Macaca fascicularis: one gene and its partners. Each later gene encodes a partner of the first gene's protein in a complex. Links are inferred from orthologs where the notes say so. Each region holds a gene or a part of one and is shown in the gene's direction. Other genes may lie near its edges. The genes, in order: FBXL13, DRC9, DRC10, DRC12 and DRC7.

Region 1 (4,213 bases):
TTAGTTTTTATCTTGAGAACACGTACGTAATACGAAATCGGTTCTATCTGTCCAGCTACACTTAAAGGAATTAGAATTCTTCTTGCTATCCCATTAGCAAATTGCCCGTGATGCTTGAGACAATCTAGTTTGTGCTTACTCAACAATGACGCTGTTTAGTTCTCTTCTACAATTGTGGACAGGAGTTTCTTGGATGGCAGATATGTTATTTTAAATTATTTCCCTAACGGCTTCCATGATGTGAAACATGCCTCTGGAGGGTTTTACCGTACCGATCAACTTTTGGACAGAAACCGAATCTGGCATTTGTCCGCTGGGAGGGTGTGTCTCGCGCAGACAACTGTTCCCATTTCCAAAACACACACCAGGCTGGGAGGTCTTGGACCACTGTGACTCCCAGGTACCTCCCCTCTGAGGCCGGGCCGAGCGCCCGCACAACTGCCCCTTTGACGTCCCTTCTTCCAGGACACTTGCAAGCAGAGCTTCACTTATGGCTCCGGGCCCCTCAACAGCCCTTCCACAATCGGCAGAATCCCTTTAATTACACAAAGGCCCGGAACAAGCTTTAAAGTGAGAGGCCATCAACAGGCTTTTAAGAAACCTAATCCTCCACTGTGGCGCAAAGCTCAGGCAGGAAAGCCAGGACAAGTTTTCATATCAGGATAGTGAACAAAGAATGGGCGGCGGGGGCGGCGCAGCACCATGCACCCACACAAGTACTGCCTCTCCCTCTAGCTCGGCTCCTCATCTTACCCCGAGGACACGCAAGCCACCACCCAAGCCCGGGAAGCCCCCCTGCCCAGTCCCCGCCCACCTGCCGGGCACCCCGCGGTCTCACCTGCAGACTTGGAAGGGCGCATCCCGAGCTCGCGGTCGCCCCGCCGCCGACCCCGGGTCAGTCTGTAAATGCAGTAGCAGGCGCCGGCGCCGAGGAGCAGGCCCGCCGCCACCCAGCCCGCGCCCCGGGGGCCACCCATTCTGCAGCCGCGGCAGAGCCGCCGCGCTGGGCCAGGGCAGGAGGCTCCTGGGGGCCAGCGCGGAGGTCTCCAGATCACGCGGGCCTAGCCGCCACAACAAACCGCGCGCGACCTGGATGTGGAGAAAGGAAATGGGGTCTGAGCTCCGCCTCCCGGAAACGGCTCAGCTCAAAGCCTATAACCGCCCACTCCAGCCCGGCGCCTCCGGGCGGCTTCTCCCAGGCGAGGCGGGGCGGGGCGCTGGACGCCAGGAGGGGAGGCTAGGACGGTGCGCCCCACGCGGAGACGCCGGGGCCCTGAACCCGGAGCCGAGCTTCCCGTCGCTTCTCCTGTGGCATGAAGCAAGCCTCCCTCCCTCCTGCCCCGGGCAGCGGAGCGAGGGGCGGTGCCGCGTCCAGCCCCGCCCCCTGGTTGCCAGGACAACGCCCGCACGCACCCGGCTCCTAGTCCCAGCGCGGGGAGGGTACCAGCGCAGCTTCTCCGTCAGGCCTTGGGCCATGGCCTCCCTACGCAATGCCAACCCGAGGCTGAAGAACTACTTCAAGGAGAACTATATTCCTCAGGTCTGCGAGGTACTGGACACGCGTGGCGGCGGACACGGACCGACGGTGGGGAATTAGAAGGGGGAGGAGTCAGGGAAGACGTCTCGGAGGAGGGACTAGGTTTAGGAGTTGAGGGAGGAGGGAGAAGGCGGGGCGGAATGCGAGAAAGTGAAGTCAAACTCGGACTTGTAGGCGATCTGGGCTGAAGATGCTGATCAGAGAGAAGACAGAGGGTGATGGTAGCTGCAAGTGGGGAATGGGTCACATCTCCCAGGGGAAATGAGCACAAGGCCCAGATCGGAAACCCCAAACTCAGCTTTTAAGGTTTGAACAAGAAGTGCCTGAGGAGTGGAGGAGTGAGAAAGAAATGCCAGAGAGGCTGAGGAGGAAAATCAGCAGACTGTCATTATGAAGAGTGTTGTCAGAAGTAGGGAGTAGGCTCTAGTCACCTAAGATAAGGACCTGGATTCTGCCCAAGGTGAGCCTGAGGTTTCCATGGAGCCGTGAGTGCAGAAAATAGATGGAGGTTAGCTGAGGGGAGAGTGGAAGCTGATACCTTTGGTCAGTGTAGTCAGCCCTTTGTGAAGGTAAGGACCCTCTCAACCGGGATTGCCTTTAGACAACAGGAAGGGCTACCCTTCCACCCCCATTGTAATAGGAGGGAAGGAAGACAGGAAGGGATAGATACTAGGTTTTGTAGGTTTTTGGGGGTTGGAAGCTGAGAACGTTTGCCTTTGTTGACCTCTTTTTTTCTCTACAAATAGTTGATGAGATATTTTCCAAGAATGTGCGTGTTTGAGTGGGGATGGGGCTGTTGGTGCAGTAGGAGGTTCGAGCAAAGATACGCTATGCGGGGAATGAGGAAGAGAGATGTCTAGGGAAGGAAAAAGGAGGTCCCAGCTGAGGGTAGTAACGATCCTAGGCGGTTGGGAGGGCAATTTGGTAGAGACCCCCGTCTCCTTTTTGGATGGCAATTGAGAAATATTTATTAAAATGTTAAATACATGTACCCTTTAACCAAGCATTTCCACTTCTAGGGATCTACTTTAGAGAAATACTTGCACATGTGTTCAGAAGGATGTACAAGGATGTTCATTATAACTTTGTTTCATAGTAGAAGTAGTAAATGACCTAGAGTGACTAAGCGAATGAGGTATTATGTAGAATAAAGTATATCTGTACCTACTAAGAAGAAATGCCCTCCAAGACATATTATTATTATCGAGACACGGGGTGTTGGTCTGCCACCCAGGCTAGAGTGTAGTGGCTCCATCCTAGCTCGCTGCAGCCTCAAACTCCTGGGCTCAAGCCATCCTCCCACCTCAGCCTCCCAAGTAGCTAGGACTACAGGCATACACCATATGGCTGGCTCCCAACACATATTATTAAGTAAAAAAGAAAAAGTGCAAGTTGCTTAGCAACTGTCCATTCTGCTCTAGCTATCTGATTTCATGTATGTTGTATATGTGTTTATGTGTACATATATGTGTGTGTATCTATCTTTAAGACAATAGTGCATGCATAGAACCTATGCCAAATTGTTAATAACAGATGTCTTGTGGAATGGTTTTGGGGGAGGAAACGGGGAATTCTAACTTTTTGCTCTACCCATAGCTGTATTGTTTTAATTTATTATAGTGAGTTTCATGTTGTACCTCTATACAATTGTGCTTGAAAATATGTAGGGAGAATGGTACCCATCTTCCCGGTTGTGTGATTTTTGTCAAGTAGCAGTCAGTAAACCAGATGTAGGTACAGAGATAACCAAGTTGACTTCGTCTGGGATAGGAATTTGCCAGGCATATGTTAATAGAATAGAAAGGCAGTAGGTTAGGGAGCTAAGCTCCTGAGTATCTGAAGTGATGGGCCAAGGACTCTAAGGACTCAGTGGGAAATGAGAAAAGGATATGATACTGATATATGTACAGAAAATGGAGACTCCTAAGAGGTGAGTGAAGAGAAGTAGAGGGAGTAATTAAATGAGGGAGCTGGAAACATAGGAGGTGGGGGTCAGAAAGTGGAATGTTTATATTTACAATTCAGGGTGCGGCCATTCTGAGTGGTGATTCAGTCTGTGATATGGCGGTGCAGCAGGTGGAAGAAACAGACTTGAGTTGAGGGTACATCAAGGAAATGGTGGCCTCTTCTCATCTAGCCTGCCAGTTACTATAACATCACAAAGCTGCAATGAGGCAGTCCCCAGTTCCCCCTCTGGGTGAGAGCGCTCCTGGCTTGCCACATTGTTCTGCACCCAGAGAGGAGGCCCTTATATGCATTCCCCATTGTCTAAGATCATATTCTCCTGAGAAGTCCTTCACTCACCTCTGCTACCACACTAGCAGCAAGAACAAGGGAGCAGTCTTCTGGGCCCCACACACCCACCTTAAACTCATTACCTATTTCTCCTAAGAGACTATCAAGATGAATTCCATTCTGCCTCATATCTATTCTGTCTGTACATTTATTCATCTGACTCAATTTCCCAGATGGGTTTTATACTTTTTTTTTTTTTTCTTTTTTGAGATGGAGTCTTGCTCTGTCGTCCAGGCTAGAGTGCAGTGGCGCCATCTCGGCTCACTGCAACATCCACCTCCTGGGTTCAAGCGATTCTCCTGCTTCAGCCTTCCAAGTAGCTGGGACTACAGGCACCTGTCATCATGCTCAGCTAATTTTTGTGTTTTTGGTCGAGATAGG
Region 2 (3,511 bases), on another chromosome or scaffold:
CAGTGGTGCAATCTCGGCTCACTGCAAGCTCCACCTCCCGGGTTCACGCCATTCTCCTGCTTCAGCCTCCCGAGTAGCTGGGACTACAGGCGCCCGCCACCATGCCTGGCTAATTTTTTGCATTTTTTAGTAGAGACGGGGTTTCACCATGTTGGCCAGGATGGTCTCGATCTCCTGACCTTGTGATCCACCCGCCTCGGCCTCCCAAAGTGCTGGGATTCCAGGCGTGAGCCACCGCACCCGGCCCCAATTAATACAGTTTTTCTAAATGTCATCTCAATTATTCCTCTAAGCACACGTGGAGCAAATTCCGTTATCTGGCGGATAAGATGGATTGAGTGATCTAATTAAATGTTAGAGTAATTAGAATCATAGAAAAAATCAAGTATATAGAGATTACCAATTAAAATTGTGATACCATGGAACACTCTAAAACCAGGTTGAACATTAATTTACCTTAAGAAGAGGCCCACAGAGTGCATGTGTCTTGAGTTTGGTAGAGCAGTAAGAATTCGGTCAACTTCTTCATAGACCTGCGGTCCGTGATGTCGATGTTTCTTTCGCCTCTGAGACTGCTCCACTCTGCACAAAGAGGTGACAGTCACAGCTCCCGTAATCATTTAATTTTCTCTGAATAAAATGATATTGAAATAACTGAAACATCATTGAAGACTTGCATAAACTAATCTCAGTGTTTCCTTCCCATTTTAGGTAGCCGCACTTCTGTGAGATTATAAATATTCCACGGAGGGTAACGGAACTACGGGAGAATGGAAGAGTATGTTTACAATTCCTATGTTTTTTGTATACATGTATTTAAATTATGCCTTCTGTGAAAGGTCTGTGTATACCTTATCTACTGCTGTGTGACAGATCACCCCAGAACTTAGTGACTTAAAATACAAACATTTATTCTTTCCCACAGTTTCTGCAGGTCCCAAGGTTAGGAGCAGGTTAGCTGGATGGTGCTGGCTTGGGGTCTCTCCTGCACGTGAAGTTGGCCACGGGTGGCAATGATGGCAATGATCTGAAGACCTGATGGGGGCTGGAGTATCCACTGCCAAGGTGGTTCATTGACAGAGCTGGCAAGTTGGTGCAGGCTGCCGGCAAGAGGCCTTTGTTCCTTTCCCTCATGGGTGTGTCCACAGTGCTGCTGAAATGTCCTCATGTCGAAGCAGCTGTCATCCCTCACACTGAGAGGTTTGAGAGAGGAAGGCAGAAGCTGCGATGTCTTTTATCACTTAGCCGTGGAAGTCCCACTCCGTCATTGCCACAATAACCTTCCGGTTACATAGGCTGGTCCTACTCAGTGTGGCGTAGACTACACAGAAGCATTAATACTAGAAAGTGAGAATCATTTGGGCCACCTTGGAGGCTGGATACCACATTCTGTTTTTCACTCATCAGGAGACACTTTTGGTTAGCATCTAAAGATACTCCTAGGGAAAAAAAGTTAATTTTGGCTCAAATTCAAATTGATCAGCATAGCCAAATTGCATGAGCTACATAGCTTTATTAAACAGTAGGTCAGGTGTGGTGGCTCACACCTGTAATCCCAGCACTTTGGGAGGCTGAGCTGGGTGGATCACCTGAGGTTGGGACTTCAAGACCAACCTGACCAACATGGAGAAAGCCCGTCTCTACTAAAAACACAAAGTTAGCCGGGTGTGGTGGCGGGCGCCTGTAGTCCCAGCTACTCAGGAGGCTGAGGCAGAAGAATCGCTTGAACCTGGGAGGCAGAGCTTGCGGTGAGCTGAGATCACGCCATTGCACTCCAGCCTGGGCAACAAGAGCGAAACTCCGTCTCAAAAAAAGGAAAAAAAAAAAAAGTAAGTTGTTTGCCTTTGGTTGGTCAAAATGGAAGATATTTAGCAGAATCACACTCAAACTCCTACTTTTTTTTTTTTTAATCTAGGTTATATTATATGACAACAAGAATATCACAGGAGCCCAGCACATTGCTGCCTGTACTTTTGAGTTAAAGTAATGTTTAAATATTGGTCGCTGACTTATTTTTTCTTTATTCTTTCCTTAGAGACAGCCTGGAAGACTCAAACCTTCCTCCAAAAGTTTGGCATTCTGAGATGACAGTGTCAGTGACAGGCAAACCACCTAGTACCGTAGAAGAAGACGGACTACCTAAAGAAACAGACGTAGAAACCATCCCAGAAATCCTAGAAACCCGAGAGCCACTCTCGCTTCCAGATGTGCTGAGGATCTCGGCAGTTCTGGAGGACACCACAGACCAGCTCTCTATTCTAAACTACATCATGCCCATTCAGTACGAAGGAAGACAGAGCGTCTGCATGGTATTTACCCGCTCACGATGAGACTATGAGTTACTTTTGCTTTATTTTTTATTTCTCCCTCATTTATAGTACCTATCTCATTAAATGTATTGATTTATCTTTCTCTCTCTCTTTCCTTCTTCTTTTTTTTTTTTTTTTTTTTCTGACAGGGTCTCGCTCTGTGGCCTAGCCTGGAGTGTAGGGGTGCTGTCACGGCTGACTGCGACCTTTACCTCCCAGGCTCAAGTGATCCTCCCACCTCAGTCTCCTGGGTAGCTGGGACTACAGGTCTGCACTACCACACCTGGCTAATTTTTTATAAAAGTTCTGTAGAGATGGGATCTCACTGTGTTGTCCAGGCTGGTGCCATTAAATATCACTTGGGAAATAGCACCTTTATTTCAGATAAAGGGCTACACTACCTATCTGAGATATGTACTCTCAATTGATGGAGTGAAATGGTCATGACTGAAGGTACATTACCGGACAGAATATCCTTTTCCACTATGTTGGCATTATCCAAAAAGGCCTGTACGGAAATCAGTATAAGTACAATACCGAAGAGAGGGAATGACTAAGCCGTCCGCGCAGCTTGTGTTTCTCAGCTGCTGAACCCTAACTGAACACTAGGGGGAGGAAGTTCAGCTCCGGCCTTCACTTCGCTTTAATCTAAAATGACTTGTCATTGGTGAATACGTTGTAACTTGCCTTCCTGAATATCCAGCCGCATTACTGTGTCAGCCATTACATTTTCTTTTTTTTTTTTTTTTTTTTTTTTTGAGACGGAGTCTCGCTCTATGGCCCAGGCTGGAGTGCAGTGGCCGGATCTCAGCTCACTGCAAGCTCCGCCTCCCGGGTTCACGCCATTCTCCGGCCTCAGCCTCCCGAGTAGCTGGGACCACAGGCGCCGCCACCTCGCCCGGCTAGTTTTTTGTATTTTTTAGTAGAGACGGGGTTTCACCGTGTTAGCCAGGATGGTCTCGATCTCCTGACCTCGTGATCCGCCCGTCTCGGCCTCCCAAAGTGCTGGGACCACAGGCGCCGCCACCGCGCCCGGCTAGTGTTTTGTATTTTTAGCAGAGACGGGGTTTCACCTGGTTAGCCAAGCCCTTACATTTTCAATCGTGTTTTGGACTGCTCTGTGAAGCAGCACTGAGTTATTAGAAAATTAATTTAGTAGTGAGCAAAGTCTTTATACATGTTTAGCTCTTGTACATTTCAAT
Region 3 (4,053 bases), on another chromosome or scaffold:
GGTAGTCTGAATCAGGGAACCTTCCTGCTTAACCATGACCCTATATACACCTACGACTAGAACCAGTACCCTGATTTGAATTCAAACACGTCATTTGTCCAGCGAGACAAAAATGAGGTCCAGAGAGGGGAAGAGACTTGCCCAAGGTCACACAGTGCAGGAGCGGGGCTAGAACCCGGGACTCCTGAGTCCTGGTCCAGTGTTCCCTCCGCGGGCTTTGCTTCTGCCTCTACAGAGGACCCAAATGGCCAGCCCTGGGGAAAGGGCCTAGGGGAAGAGGGCCAGCTGCCATGCCGCTGTCCGCTCGGGCAGCCTGACCCGGGCACGAGACTCCTGCGGGGTCACCTGAGGGCGCCAGGGAGAAGAGCGAGGGAGGGAGCAAGAAGGAGGCAGGAGCGCTGGCTCCAGCTCCGCGTGCTCCCAGCCCCTGGCTGGGCGCCCACGTGAGGGTCGCCCCAAGAAGTCGGGGGCAAGGAGAGAGGGTGCAAAGCCCCGGCCCGGGCTGGACGGAGAGAAGCGCGGCGGAGACTTCCCCGCGCCCTCTCTGGGCCCATTCAGCCCACCTCCCACACCAGAGTGTCGCGCCGCAACCCCTTACTCCGCGCCCTCTGACCCTGATCCCTGCCCTCTCCCTCTGGCCAAGTCCTCGCATCCCTCGGATTCTTACACGCGCCGCCCCAGCAACCCGGACCGCGCGCCGGGGTCCGTACCACGCAGCCCAGCCCGCCGGCGCCGCCGCCAAAACCCCGAGCCCGAAGCTGTTGCAGCCGCCGCAGCCGCCGCCACTTCAGCCACCGCCACCAGGGTAGCTGCGCCAGCTCTCCCATCCGCCGCCTACCGTCCTCTCAACCCCGCTCGCCCCGCCCCATTTCCCCTTCACAGCGTCCTACTGGCTAACTGGGCTACCATGATGAGCTCTGATTGGTCAATTCTCACGTCTTTCCGCAGGTCTCGCCCGCAGCCGAGGCAGTACTCCCTGCCCGCCTCCTTAAGAAGGGGCGGGACGAAGAATCCACGCCCCTTTCTCCTCCCATCTTCCCCGCCTTAATCGTTGAGTCCAACCCAGAGGGAGTCCCAAGTCTTTCCATTGGTGCAAGGTCAAAATGGCGGTGCTTCTGATTGGTCAGACTTCAGGAGGTGGGGACAATTGAGCGGAACAAGAAATTGAATGGTGAAAAGAAAGGTCAGTCAGACACAGAGTCCCGCCTTCTGAGATTGGCGGGTAACCTCGCAACGCTGGGACCGCGGCGGTAACTGTGGCTAGGGAAACCTGGAGCCGTCAGAGCGGGTGAGTAACCAGGTGGGAAAGGGTCGCGGATCGGGGGAGATGTGGAATGGGGTTCAGCCCGATGTCCTTTGGCTCCCTGAGAAATTGGTAGCCCCCGCTGCGATCCCGTCTCAGCTTCAGGACCCCGTCCCTCAGCCCCTGCCTCAGTCTGGACCTCTCGCTCCACAGCCTGCAGGGAGCCGGCCTCCATTCTTCCCCTTCTACCTGCCCACTTCATGGCCCCACTCCCTCATCCCTAAAACGACAAGGACACCAGTCAAGCAGAGTCACATCGTAGTTAACTTATTTCAAGTCAAACATGGGAGCTGTGGGTGGGAGGGGGGTTTATAAGTCCCCTCCCATTCCACCCAACGACCATACGTTCCTCGGTGAGCGGGCCATCTCACTTAAGTGTTTAAATTAGGTAGTTTTTGTTTGTTTTTGTTGTTGTTGTTGTTGTTGTTGTTTTTGCCTAGCGCGGTGACTCACGCCTGTAATCCCAGTACTTTGGGAGGCCAAGGCGGGCAGATCACTAAAGGTCAGGAGTTCTAGACCAGCCTGGCCAATATAGTGAAACCTCATCTCTACTGAAAATACAAAAATTAGCTGGGCATGGTGGTGCACCTGTAATCCCAGCTACTCGGGAGGCTAAGGCACGAGAATCACTTGAACCCGGGAGACCGAGGTTGCAGTAAACCAAGATCGCGCCATTGCACTCCATCCTCCGCAACAGAGCAGGACTCTGTCCCAAATAAATAAATAAATTAGGTAATTTTTATTATACCACTTTTGCCTTTGTCCTAACTTTGGAATTTATTTCCCATCTCCGTCCTTAAAATGTAATCTCTTTGTACCTACTAAAGATAGAGAGTTTCTTGTGATGATTAAATGAGGCTGAGGGGTGGGCACAGTGGCTCAATCTGCAATCCCAACAATTTGGGAGGCCGAGCGGCGGATCACCTGAGGCCAGGAGTTTGAGACCAGCCTGGCCAACATGGTGAAGCCCTGTCTCTACTAAAAATACAAAAATTAGCTGGGCATGGTGGTGCATGCCTGTGATCCCATCTACTCGGGAGGCTGAGGCAGGAGAATTTCTTGAACCCGGGTGGTGGAGGTTGCAGTGAGCCGAGATGGTGCCACTGCACTCCCGCGGGGGTGATAGAGCGAGGCTCCATCTCAATAAATAAATAAATAAATAAATAAATAAATAAATAAGGCTGAGGTGGAAGAATCGCTTGAACCCAAGAGGCGGAGGTTGTAGTGAGCCATGATTGCACTGCTGCACTCCAGCCTGGGCCACAGAGTGAAAAACCCTGTCTCAAAAAAATATATAAAAAAGAAAAACTTTGAGGTTCAAAAGATATTTTCGTAAGAAAATGAAAAGATCAGCCACAGACACAGACATGGAGGAAATATTTGCAAATCTCATGTGTCTTATAATAGACTTGTATGTAGAAAATAAAAATAACTCTTATAACTCAAGAGGACAACTCCATTTTTTTAATGGGCAAAAGAGTTAAGTAGACATTTAAAAATCAAAAAGACAATCCCAAATATCATCATGTAGATAAACAAACTAGCTTTCATATATTGCTGGTAGGTACAGCAGAATACCAATTGGTACCACCAATCTGAAATATAGTTGGCAGTTTCTTAAAAAGTTAAACATAGGCCAGGCACAGTGGCTCATGCCTGTAATCCCAGCACTGTGGGAGGCACAGGCAGGTGGATCACCTGAGGTCAGGAGTTCGAGACCAGCCTGGCCAACATAGCAAAACCCCGTCTCTACTAAAAATACAAAAATTAGCAGGGCATGCTGGCGGGCCCCTGTATTCCCAGCTACTTGGGAGGCTGAGGCAGGAGAATCACTTGAACCTAGGAGGCGGAGGTTGCAGTGAGCCGAGATCATGCCACTGCATTCCAGCCTGGGCAATAGAGTGAGACTCTGTCTCAAAAAAAAAAAAAAAAGCAAATGAGTATTTCATTATTTTGATCTGAGCTTTACGATTTTTCTTTTCTTTTTTTTTTGAGATGGAGTTTTGTGTTGTTGCCCAGGTTGGAGTGCAGTGGCACGAGAATTGCTTGAATCTGGAAGGTGGAGGTTGCAGTGAGCTGAGATCACGCCACTGTACTCCAGCCTGGGCAACAGAGCGAGACTCAGTCTCAAAAACAAAACAACTACAACAAAAAAATGTGAGTGGAAACAGAGATCGTTTGCAGATTAGCTCATGGGAATTTGGTGGAGTGATAGAAATGTTCTAAAACAGGATTGTATCTAAAACTGATGTGGCAACTTTAGATACATTTACAAAAATAGTCATTGAGTTTTATACTTACAATGGGTGAATTTTATGGTAATGTAAATTACACCTCAATAGAGCTGTAAAAAAAAAAATTACACGCGTGGTTAGTACCATGCAGGAAAGGTGAGAGAATTTCCACAGGTTGTAAAGTGCTGTGTGTTCCTGTCTGAGAAGGGGTAGCCATTGAGCTAAGACCTAAAGAATGAGAAATTGTTAATCCAGGGAGAAATTGTTCATGGGGGGTTGGTTTCTGACATAAAGTAACATTATACATTAGTGCCTGAGAGCAGGAGGGGTTTGAGATAGGCTGTTTTTTGTTTGTTTTGTTTTTGAGACAGAGCCCCTCTCTGTTGCCCAGGCTGGAATGCAGTGGTGCAATCTCAGCTCACTGCAACCTACGCCTCTTGGGTCCAAGCAATTCTCCTGCCTCAGCCTACCAGGTAGCTGGGATTACAGGTGCCCGCCATCATGTGCTGCTAATTT
Region 4 (4,235 bases), on another chromosome or scaffold:
GCCTGACAAGGGAGGGCCACCTGTCATACTCTCTCCCCCACATTAATTATTCCAGCCACTCCTGGCTCCAGCAGGACACTAAGAAGTATCCCCAAAGGGAGTCACCCCCAGTATTGCCCAGTAAATAATTTAAAAGCAAAAATGTGGGAAACTCAGGAGAAGGTCAAACAAGTCCACTAGAGGGAGCCCCAACCAACTCTATGCTGCAGGGAGCCTCACAAAGCAATGTCTCAACACCTGTCTGAAAATCAACCACACAAGGGAATGGGGAAATGTAGCAATAGATTAAGTAACTAGGAGAGAAGATAGCCATGTAAACACCTAGCTAAAACACAGGCTTTTCAAGAGCTACAAAATCAAACATTTAAAGATCAGGAAACTGATGCTGAGCAAAGTCAAATGGCTTGCCTCAGTTTACATATCCACAGTTGGGACTCAAACTCAAATGTCTTGTCTCTAACCTGAGCACTTTCCTGCACACTTGCATCCCTCTAGGTCAGTACCCTAGAGTCCATGGGTCTGCTGTTCCTTTGTGTCTCATTTCTCTGAAGTGGGAAACGCCCTCGACTACCTATTCCTGTACTTATTACCCTCATTCCACAGTGTACTGAAGAGGATCTTCAGTGGTTTGGGGTTTTTGTTTGTTTGTTTGTTTGTTTGTTTGAGACAGGGTCTCCCTCTGTCATCCAGGCTGGAGTGCAGTGGTGCAATCATAGCTCACTGCTGCCTCAACCTCCCAGGCTCAAGTGGTTCTCCTGCTTCAGCCTCCCGAGTAGCTGAGACTAACAGGTGTGCACCACCCTGCCAGGCTAATTTTTTAATTTTTTGTAGAAATGAGGTCTCACTGTGTTGTCCAGGCTGGTCTTGAACTCCTGGCCTCAAGTAATCCTCCTGCCTCAGCTTCTGAAAATGTTGGGATTATAGGCATGAGCCACCGCCCCCAGCTTAGATCTTCAGTTTTAAACCTACTAATGTCATTTTGCTGATGGGACCTCGGGATGTCAATTGTCCAACATGGCTACTGTCAGTCCTTTTCCTCTGTATCAGCACAACATATTATCTCAGATGTGTACATCTGAATTTGGAAGTCTCCAAATTGCAGGCCATGTCTACGTGGCAATGAATCATAACCAATCGGCCTCCAAAGCCCTTTCTTTTCAAACTATACTTAGGGTTTTGGGATAAGGAAAGAACTGACCCTTTGAGACCTTGATATTTTAAGCTTTGTGAGCTGATTTAGCCCATTCCACCTTCCTACCAACTCCATGTTTCCCAGTTGCCTGGACAACATACAGCCTCCCGAAACCCAACCTTCCAGCCCTCAGTCCTGCCCTCAAGAGAAATTTGCCACCAAGGATTGGCTCCCAGGACCCAGGCCCCGCCTCAGGCTCCTCGCTAGTTGGGCCTTCTCTCTGCCACTCCCCACGGGTGGGTCACTCCACAGGGAGCCCCAACACTGGCAGGAGAGGATCCTACAGGTAGGAAGAGGGGGTTGAGGATGATGGGAAGAGGGAGGGGAGCAGGTACAGGGATTTATCTAAAAGAGAGTTGTGAGGAGTGACTTCCGTACAGTCAGCCTGGTTGAGAGAAAAAACTTCACCCTCCCCGTTGACCCCAACCCTGCCTGAGGTTCCAAAGAGACTGTGAACTGACTTTTCTGAAGAGTATGAGATGCAAATTTGGAGTAGAACCAGGAGACTCCCCTGAGACTCCTGATTCAGTCAGGAAAGCATCCCTGTGTCCAGACCTAAACATAAGGTCCCCTCCTTCTCCCAGGACAGCAAGGAGATGCCACTTAAAAACAAAGAAAAAGGGAAGAAATCTGGGGCGCAGAAGAAAAAGAACTGGGGTGAGTCATGGTGGGTGGAGGTGCCCCCTGCTTCTCCATGTTCTGGCATGAAGACCACGCAGAGCTCCTCCAGAGAGAATTCAGCCTTCTACATGACAGGATGGAACTCTCTTGACCTTCCTCTTTCGTGTCCTTGAAGTCAGATGCAGGGAGCTGAGGAAGTGGGGAAATGGTCACTCACGCTGTCCTTTAAGCACCATCTAGCTTTGTGCCTTCCTAATATATTTGTCATGTGTATTTTGCATATCTGTTATGTGCTGGTTGGTAAGGACACAGTGCTGACTTCAGTAGACTCTGCCACCATGGATCCCTCATTTAGTGGTCCTCAGGTCTCCTGTGGCAAAAGTGCAGGGTGTGGGGCGAGGACGCAAGGAGAGTGAGGAATGCTGAGATCACGAAGAGCTGAGGCTCTGCCACTTGCCACAGCAGGTGCAGATGTGGAGGCTGAGTCCAGGCACAGGCTGGTGGTGCTGGAGAAGGAGCTGCTCCGAGACCACTTGGGTAAGGAGGGTAGAAGTTGGCATGGGGGTGGGCAACAGGGCAAGTGAAATGGGGCATTTCTGTATCCTGGGGGATTGGAGAGTTGGAGATACAGTGGGGGGCTAAGTTGAACCCTAACCATCCCCTAGTGGAAAAAGACAATGAGAGAGGGGTGGGCAGTGAGAGTTGATAAAGGAAGCTTTTTTTTTTTTTAGACAGAATCTTGCTCTATTGCCCAGGCTGGACTGCAGTGGTGTGATCATAGCTCACTGTAATCTCAAACTCCTGGACCCCAACAATCTTCCCACCTCAGCTTCACGAGTAGCTGGTGCACACCACCCTACCTAGCTACTTTATTTATTTATTTATTTATTTTTCTTTTTTAAAATTTATTTTATTTTATTATTTCATTTTATTTTATTTTACTATCTTTTTTTTTAAGACAGAGTCCTGTGCTCTGTTGCCCAGGCTGGAGTGCAGTGGCGCGATCTTGGCTCACTGCAACCTCTGCCTCCCAGGCTCAAGTGATTCCCCTGCCTCGGCCTCCCAAGTAGCTGGGATTACAGGCACACAGCCACCACACCCGGCTAATTTTTGTATTCTTATTAGAGACAGGTTTTCACCATGTTGGCCAAGCTGGTCTCGAACTCTTGACCTCATGATCCTCCCACCTTGGCCTCCCAAAGTGCTGGGATTACAGGCATGAGCCACTGCGCCTGGCCCTATTTATTTTTCTTATAGAGACAAGGTCTCACTCTGTTGCCCAGGCAGGTCTCAAACTCCTGGCCTCAAGCAATTCTCCCACCTAAGCCCCCCAAAATATTGGGATTACAGGCATGAGCCACCATGCCGGGCTATCCGGAAAGCTATTTTGTATAGGCAGAACATGGAGAGAGTCTTTACTTCTTAATAATGAGGAGCCTGTGAGACTCTAGGGATAAAAAACAAAAACAACAAAACCCAGAGAGAGAATAAGAGGCTGGACGCCCCGCCACCAGATTTCTAGAGACGGGCAAAATTCATCAAGTTCATGGGGGCTGATTTAGCGGGCCCCAGCCAGTCCTGACAGTGGCTCTGGGACTGCTCACAGCTGTACGGAGGGATGAAGCCCGTCGAGCCAAGGCTTCCGAAGACCAGCTGAAGCAGAGGCTGCAAAGGGTGGAGGCTGAGCTGGAAGGGGCCCGAAGTGAAGGGAAGGCCATATATGCAGGTGTGTGGTCTGTTGAGCAGGTGGGCAGGAGACAGGGGCCTGGAGGAAGACAACCAGCAGGGTCAGATGATGCAAGGAAGGGAAACAAGGAGGGCTTCCAACTGCCAGGCCTGGTCTTGGTCTTCCCCGAACAGTACAAATCAGGCAGGATCCTGCAGGAATCAAAGGCAGGTAGGTTCCTGGGATCCCAGGCAGGGGCCTGCCAGGATGCCTGGTGCCATGTGCTTGATGCTGTGTAGGATACACATGCAGTCATAGCCATCACCTCAACCATCCTATGGGAGGGGAGAAGGACTAGCATCCCCATCCAAAGCTGGACGGTGGGGGAGGTGGGTTGGGCTTCCTTTCCCTTCCTCAGGTTTTCATGGTCTCTAGCTTCTCAGAATCACAAAAAGAACCAAGAAGACCATGGGCCGGGAGTGGTGGCTCACACCTGTAATCCCAGCACTTTGGGAGGCCGAGGCGGGCGGATCACGAGGTCAGGAGATCGAGACCATCCTGGCTAACATGGTGAAACTCCGTCTCTACTAAAAATGCAAAAAATTAGCCGGGTGTGGTGGCAGGTGCCTGTAGTCCCAGCTACTCGGGAGACTGAGGCAGGAGAAGGGGGTGAACCCGGGAGGCGGAGCTTGCAGTGAGCCAAGATCGCACCACTGCACTCCAGCCTGGGCGACAGAGCGAGACCCCGTCTCAAAA
Region 5 (4,000 bases), on another chromosome or scaffold:
TGAGATGCACAGGTTTCACAACCAGAAATACTTGGGCTCAAATCCCAGACCTGCTACTTACTAGCTGTGACCTTAAGCAGTGCACTCAACCTCTCTGGGCCCCAGTCTTCTCATCTGCAAAGCGGGTGTCCTAAGTGTCTGCCTCACAGAGTCAGTAGAGGATAAGTGAGATGATCTCCGTACAACCCTAAGCACAGGGCCTGGCACACAGTAGGCGTTCAGCAAACTGTAAGTGCCTTGTAATGGTGATGACTGCCCTCCCTGTGCTTATTCTCTCTGGGACCAAGAGGCCGATAAATGGATCTGATGACTGGGAAGTGCTGCTTGGCTAGAGGTTCTCCCCTGAGGATCTGGGGTCCTGAATGCTGTTGGCCCACCTGGGCTTGGGTGGGCTCCAGCCAGATGAGCATTCATCCCCTCCTGAGTCCCAGAACACAGAATGTCAGAATTGGACAGAAAATATCTGCCCTCCCTTCCTATTGTAAAGAGAAACTGAGGCACAGAAAGGCGCAGACAGTGACCCAAGGGTCCAGCAGGAGCTATTGGCAAAGCCAGGGTTTCCCCAACCGGGCTCAGTCCTGGCTGGTGGCCAGTGACTCACCTCCCTAAGAGGCCGAGGCGGCCCGCGTGGGTGTGGCGTGGGGAATGGGGCCAGCCTTTATCTGCTGCTCCCTTCTGCCCTCTTGTTCCTGGCTTCACCCAGGGAAGTGGGGGATGATTACAAAGTCGAGGGGATTCTGCTTTTTTCTCCTCACTACTCGCGCCCTTTGTCCTGTGGGTTTCCTTTGTTTTCCTCCTCTCTGGACCCCTGTTTACTATAAGGAAAACAGATGTTGGAGGAGAGAAATAGAAAGACCCCAGCTGGGAGGCTGGATCAGCTGGGGTGGCGTTGGGCGGTGTGGATCAGGGACCCCCATAGAGGCTGACATTTCTTATATAAGGAAAGGCTGGAGGTGGCACTCCAGTCCTCTGTGGCACCACAGGTCCCCGGTCTCTTGGCCCTGCCATCCTTAGCAGGCTACTTTAGCCCTCATGTGTGGTCACCTCATGGTCTCACCTGGGCTGCCCCACCTCCCACTTTATCTCCACATTCCAGGTGGGAGGAGGAGAAGGGCAGAGGGTGCCCCGATAACTTCTGCCCACATCTCATTGGCCAGAACCAGGTCACATCACAGGGCCACCTCTAGCTACAAGAGGATCTGGGAAGCTGAGCAATTCAAACCAGGCACACTGCTGACCCCACACAACTGGGGTTCTGCCGTATAGAAGAGGAGACTGGATCTTTGGGTAGGTGACTAGCAGTACCCGCTCAGTGAGGCTCTGCTCTGTGGTCGCAGGACATATGGTGAACACATGTGGCGTCTCTGCGTGGATCACAGAATGAAGCCTGTTCTCTGGGCCGACACAGGCCTTGGCCAAGAGAGAGCAGGCTCTGTTACCCCACCCCCCACTTCCTGTTTGTGTGCCCTGGTGCACGCACCTTCACTCTCTGTGCCTTGGTTCCCAATTTGGTCAGGTGAGATATCATTCACCTGCTGTCTTCATTTTTGGGTGGGTTGTAGTCCATATTACCTTACTGTTAGGATTTTCTTTAAACCAATTTATTTATTCATGTATTTATTTATTTATTATTTATCTGAGATGGAGTCTCACTCTGTTGCCCAGGCTAGAGTGCAGTGGTGTGATCTCGACTTATTGCAACCTCCGCCTCCCAGGTTCAAGTGATTCTGCTGCCTCAGACTCCTGAATAGCTGGGATTACAGGCGTGCACCACCATGCCTGGCTAATTTTTTGTATTTTTAGTAGAGACGGGGTTTCGCCATATTGGCCAGGCTGGTCTCGAACTCCTGACCTCAAGTGATCCACCTGCCTCAGCCTCCCAAAGTGCTGGGACTACAGGCATGAGCCACCGCACACAGCCAATTCATTTATTTAAATAGGAAACGTGACAATACTATAGTAGTCCCCACAGCATTAGCAGTACTTGTCATTGATAACTGTCAGCTGGCACAATGGCTCATGCCGGTAATCCCAGCACTTTGGGAGGCCAAAGCAGGAAGATCACTTGAGGCCAGGAGTTTAAGCTTGGGCAACATAGCCAGACCCTGTCTCTACCAAAAAAAAAAAAAATAGCCAGGTGTGGTGGTGCGTGCCTGTGGTCTCAGCTACTGGGGAGGCTGAGGTGGGAGGATTGCTTGAGCCTGGGGGTTTGATGCTGCAGTGAGCCATGTTTGCGCTACTGCACTCCAAGCCTGGGTGACAGAGTGAGACCTTGTCTCAAAAACATAAAAAATTTAAAAAAGGATAACTGTCAAATATACTTAAAGCAAATTGACATGTGTCCTGCCCTGTCCTGTCCTGATGATGGCTTCCAGCCGGAGGCCTGCTTTGTCTTTGTTGTAAAGGAATATTTGCCAGGATTAGAAAGGTGTTACAGATGGGGTAGCATCAAACAGAGATCTTCTCCATGTTTGAAAGGAAGTCAAAGAGGGAATCACTGCCTTCCTATGTGCTCTACACCTCCCCAAAACCATCTCCCAGGCCTCCCAGGGATGCCCCAGTGGTGTTGGTGGCTCCTGCCTGGTCTGACAGTCAGCCATGGCGTATACTTCCCCTTCCCCACAGAGACATTCTGTCTCCAGACAGCCAGAGACGCTCCAGAATGGAGGTCCTGAGGGAGAAGGTGGAGGAGGAGGAGGAGGCAGAGCGGGAGGAGGCGGCCAAGCGGGCTGAATGGGCGAGGACCGAGAAAATGATGAGGCCAGTTGAGGTGCGGAAGGAGGAAACCACCTTGACACAGGAGATGCTCAGAGACCTGGAGAAGAAGCTGTCGGAGATCCAGATCCCCATCTCAGCGGAGCTCCCGTGAGTGTGGCAGTGTGGGGGCTCTGGGCAAGGGCAGACCGGGGCTGGGCACAGGGAGACCCAGGCAGAGTGGTGGCGACTGGTCTGGCAGGGTGACCAGTTAAGAGTGAAGGCTTTCTGCTTTCAAATGGCCTGGGCCGAGTGTCCACGCTCCCCCGACTAGCTGTGTGACCTTGGGCAAGTCACTCAGCCTCTCGGTGCCTCAGTGCCTTTATCTGTCTAAAAGTGCAGGTGCTGGCCGGGCGCTGTGGCTCACATCTGTAGTCCCAGCACTTTAGAAGGAAGAGGTGGGAGGATCGCTTGAGACCAGGAGTTCGAGACGAGCCCGGGCAACATAGCGAGACCCCCATCTATCTCGACAAAAAATACAAAAATTAGCCAGGTGTGGTGGTGCCTCTAGTCCCAGCTACTTGGGAGGCTGAGGTGGGAGGGTCACTTAAGCCCAGGAGTTCAAGGCTGCAGTGAGCTATGACTGTGCTACCGCACTCCAGCCTGGGCAACAGAGCAAGACCTGTCTCTTAAATATAAATAAATAAATAAATAATAAATAAATAAGCAGATGTTAATGATACCTGCTTTCTCAGTAGCTGTGAGGATTAAATGAGGAAGGGATAGAGCCAATGGCAACTCAGTGGAACCAGGGCTCCTGAGTACCAGGCATGGCTTCCCTAATGCCGTCCCTCTTGTGGCACAGGGCCTTTACCAAGGACACTATTGACATCTCCAAGCTGCCTGTTTCCTACAAAACCAACACACCCAAGGAGGAGCACCTGCTGCAGGTGGCAGACAACTTTTCCCGCCAGTACAGCCATCTGTGCCCGGATCGCGTGCCCCTCTTCCTGCACCCCCTGAACGAGTGCGAAGTGCCTGTAAGGCTGGCATGTTGAGGGCAGGGCCAGGGAGCCTGGGGCTGGAGAGCAGAGGGCACAGGGAAGTGGGGTGGGTTCTCCAAGGGCAATGGGCCAAATCACAGACCTCCTGTGGACTGGAGTGCTTCTAGTCTGGGGGAAACATAAACTCCAATGCCAGCAGGCCTCAGCAGGCTCAGTGCAGAGTACCCTGGAGGGTGGTGGTGGCCTGGAGACCCCATGCCTCGCCTAAAGAGGCAGCTGCTGATTGCTGCAGGGAAACAACA

Evidence for each region.
Region 2: FBXL13 (region 1) and DRC9 share a complex: the UniProt entries of both Homo sapiens proteins name them as parts of the nexin-dynein regulatory complex. The link is inferred for Macaca fascicularis from reciprocal best matches to the Homo sapiens genes FBXL13 and DRC9.
Region 3: FBXL13 (region 1) and DRC10 share a complex: the UniProt entries of both Homo sapiens proteins name them as parts of the nexin-dynein regulatory complex. The link is inferred for Macaca fascicularis from reciprocal best matches to the Homo sapiens genes FBXL13 and DRC10.
Region 4: FBXL13 (region 1) and DRC12 share a complex: the UniProt entries of both Homo sapiens proteins name them as parts of the nexin-dynein regulatory complex. The link is inferred for Macaca fascicularis from reciprocal best matches to the Homo sapiens genes FBXL13 and DRC12.
Region 5: FBXL13 (region 1) and DRC7 share a complex: the UniProt entries of both Homo sapiens proteins name them as parts of the nexin-dynein regulatory complex. The link is inferred for Macaca fascicularis from reciprocal best matches to the Homo sapiens genes FBXL13 and DRC7.

Annotation. Positions count from the first base shown.
Region 1 is NC_088377.1:144,707,247-144,711,459, reverse strand, and holds the start of FBXL13 (F-box and leucine-rich repeat protein 13), read left to right. Parts: upstream 1-1,411; 5' UTR 1,412-1,474; coding exon 1,475-1,549; intron 1,550-1,663; exon of another isoform or gene 1,664-1,997; intron 1,998-4,213. Other genes in the region: ARMC10 (armadillo repeat-containing protein 10), read right to left, coding at 839-977. UniProt on the Homo sapiens protein: Substrate-recognition component of the SCF (SKP1-CUL1-F-box protein)-type E3 ubiquitin ligase complex.
Region 2 is NC_088376.1:895,447-898,957, forward strand, and holds part of DRC9 (dynein regulatory complex protein 9), read left to right. Parts: intron 1-711; 5' UTR 712-770; coding exon 771-778; intron 779-925; exon of another isoform or gene 926-1,419; intron 1,420-2,035; coding exon 2,036-2,309; intron 2,310-3,511. UniProt on the Homo sapiens protein: Component of the nexin-dynein regulatory complex (N-DRC), a key regulator of ciliary/flagellar motility which maintains the alignment and integrity of the distal axoneme and regulates microtubule sliding in motile axonemes.
Region 3 is NC_088385.1:120,145,337-120,149,389, reverse strand, and holds the start of DRC10 (dynein regulatory complex protein 10), read left to right. Parts: upstream 1-1,246; 5' UTR 1,247-1,288; intron 1,289-4,053. UniProt on the Homo sapiens protein: Component of the nexin-dynein regulatory complex (N-DRC), a key regulator of ciliary/flagellar motility which maintains the alignment and integrity of the distal axoneme and regulates microtubule sliding in motile axonemes.
Region 4 is NC_088388.1:118,066,438-118,070,672, reverse strand, and holds the start of DRC12 (dynein regulatory complex protein 12), read left to right. Parts: upstream 1-1,435; 5' UTR 1,436-1,478; intron 1,479-1,776; 5' UTR 1,777-1,788; coding exon 1,789-1,849; intron 1,850-2,275; coding exon 2,276-2,350; intron 2,351-3,419; coding exon 3,420-3,539; intron 3,540-4,235. UniProt on the Homo sapiens protein: Component of the nexin-dynein regulatory complex (N-DRC), a key regulator of ciliary/flagellar motility which maintains the alignment and integrity of the distal axoneme and regulates microtubule sliding in motile axonemes.
Region 5 is NC_088394.1:53,801,427-53,805,426, forward strand, and holds the start of DRC7 (dynein regulatory complex subunit 7), read left to right. Parts: upstream 1-1,193; 5' UTR 1,194-1,287; intron 1,288-2,625; 5' UTR 2,626-2,662; coding exon 2,663-2,865; intron 2,866-3,559; coding exon 3,560-3,734; intron 3,735-4,000. UniProt on the Homo sapiens protein: Component of the nexin-dynein regulatory complex (N-DRC) a key regulator of ciliary/flagellar motility which maintains the alignment and integrity of the distal axoneme and regulates microtubule sliding in motile axonemes.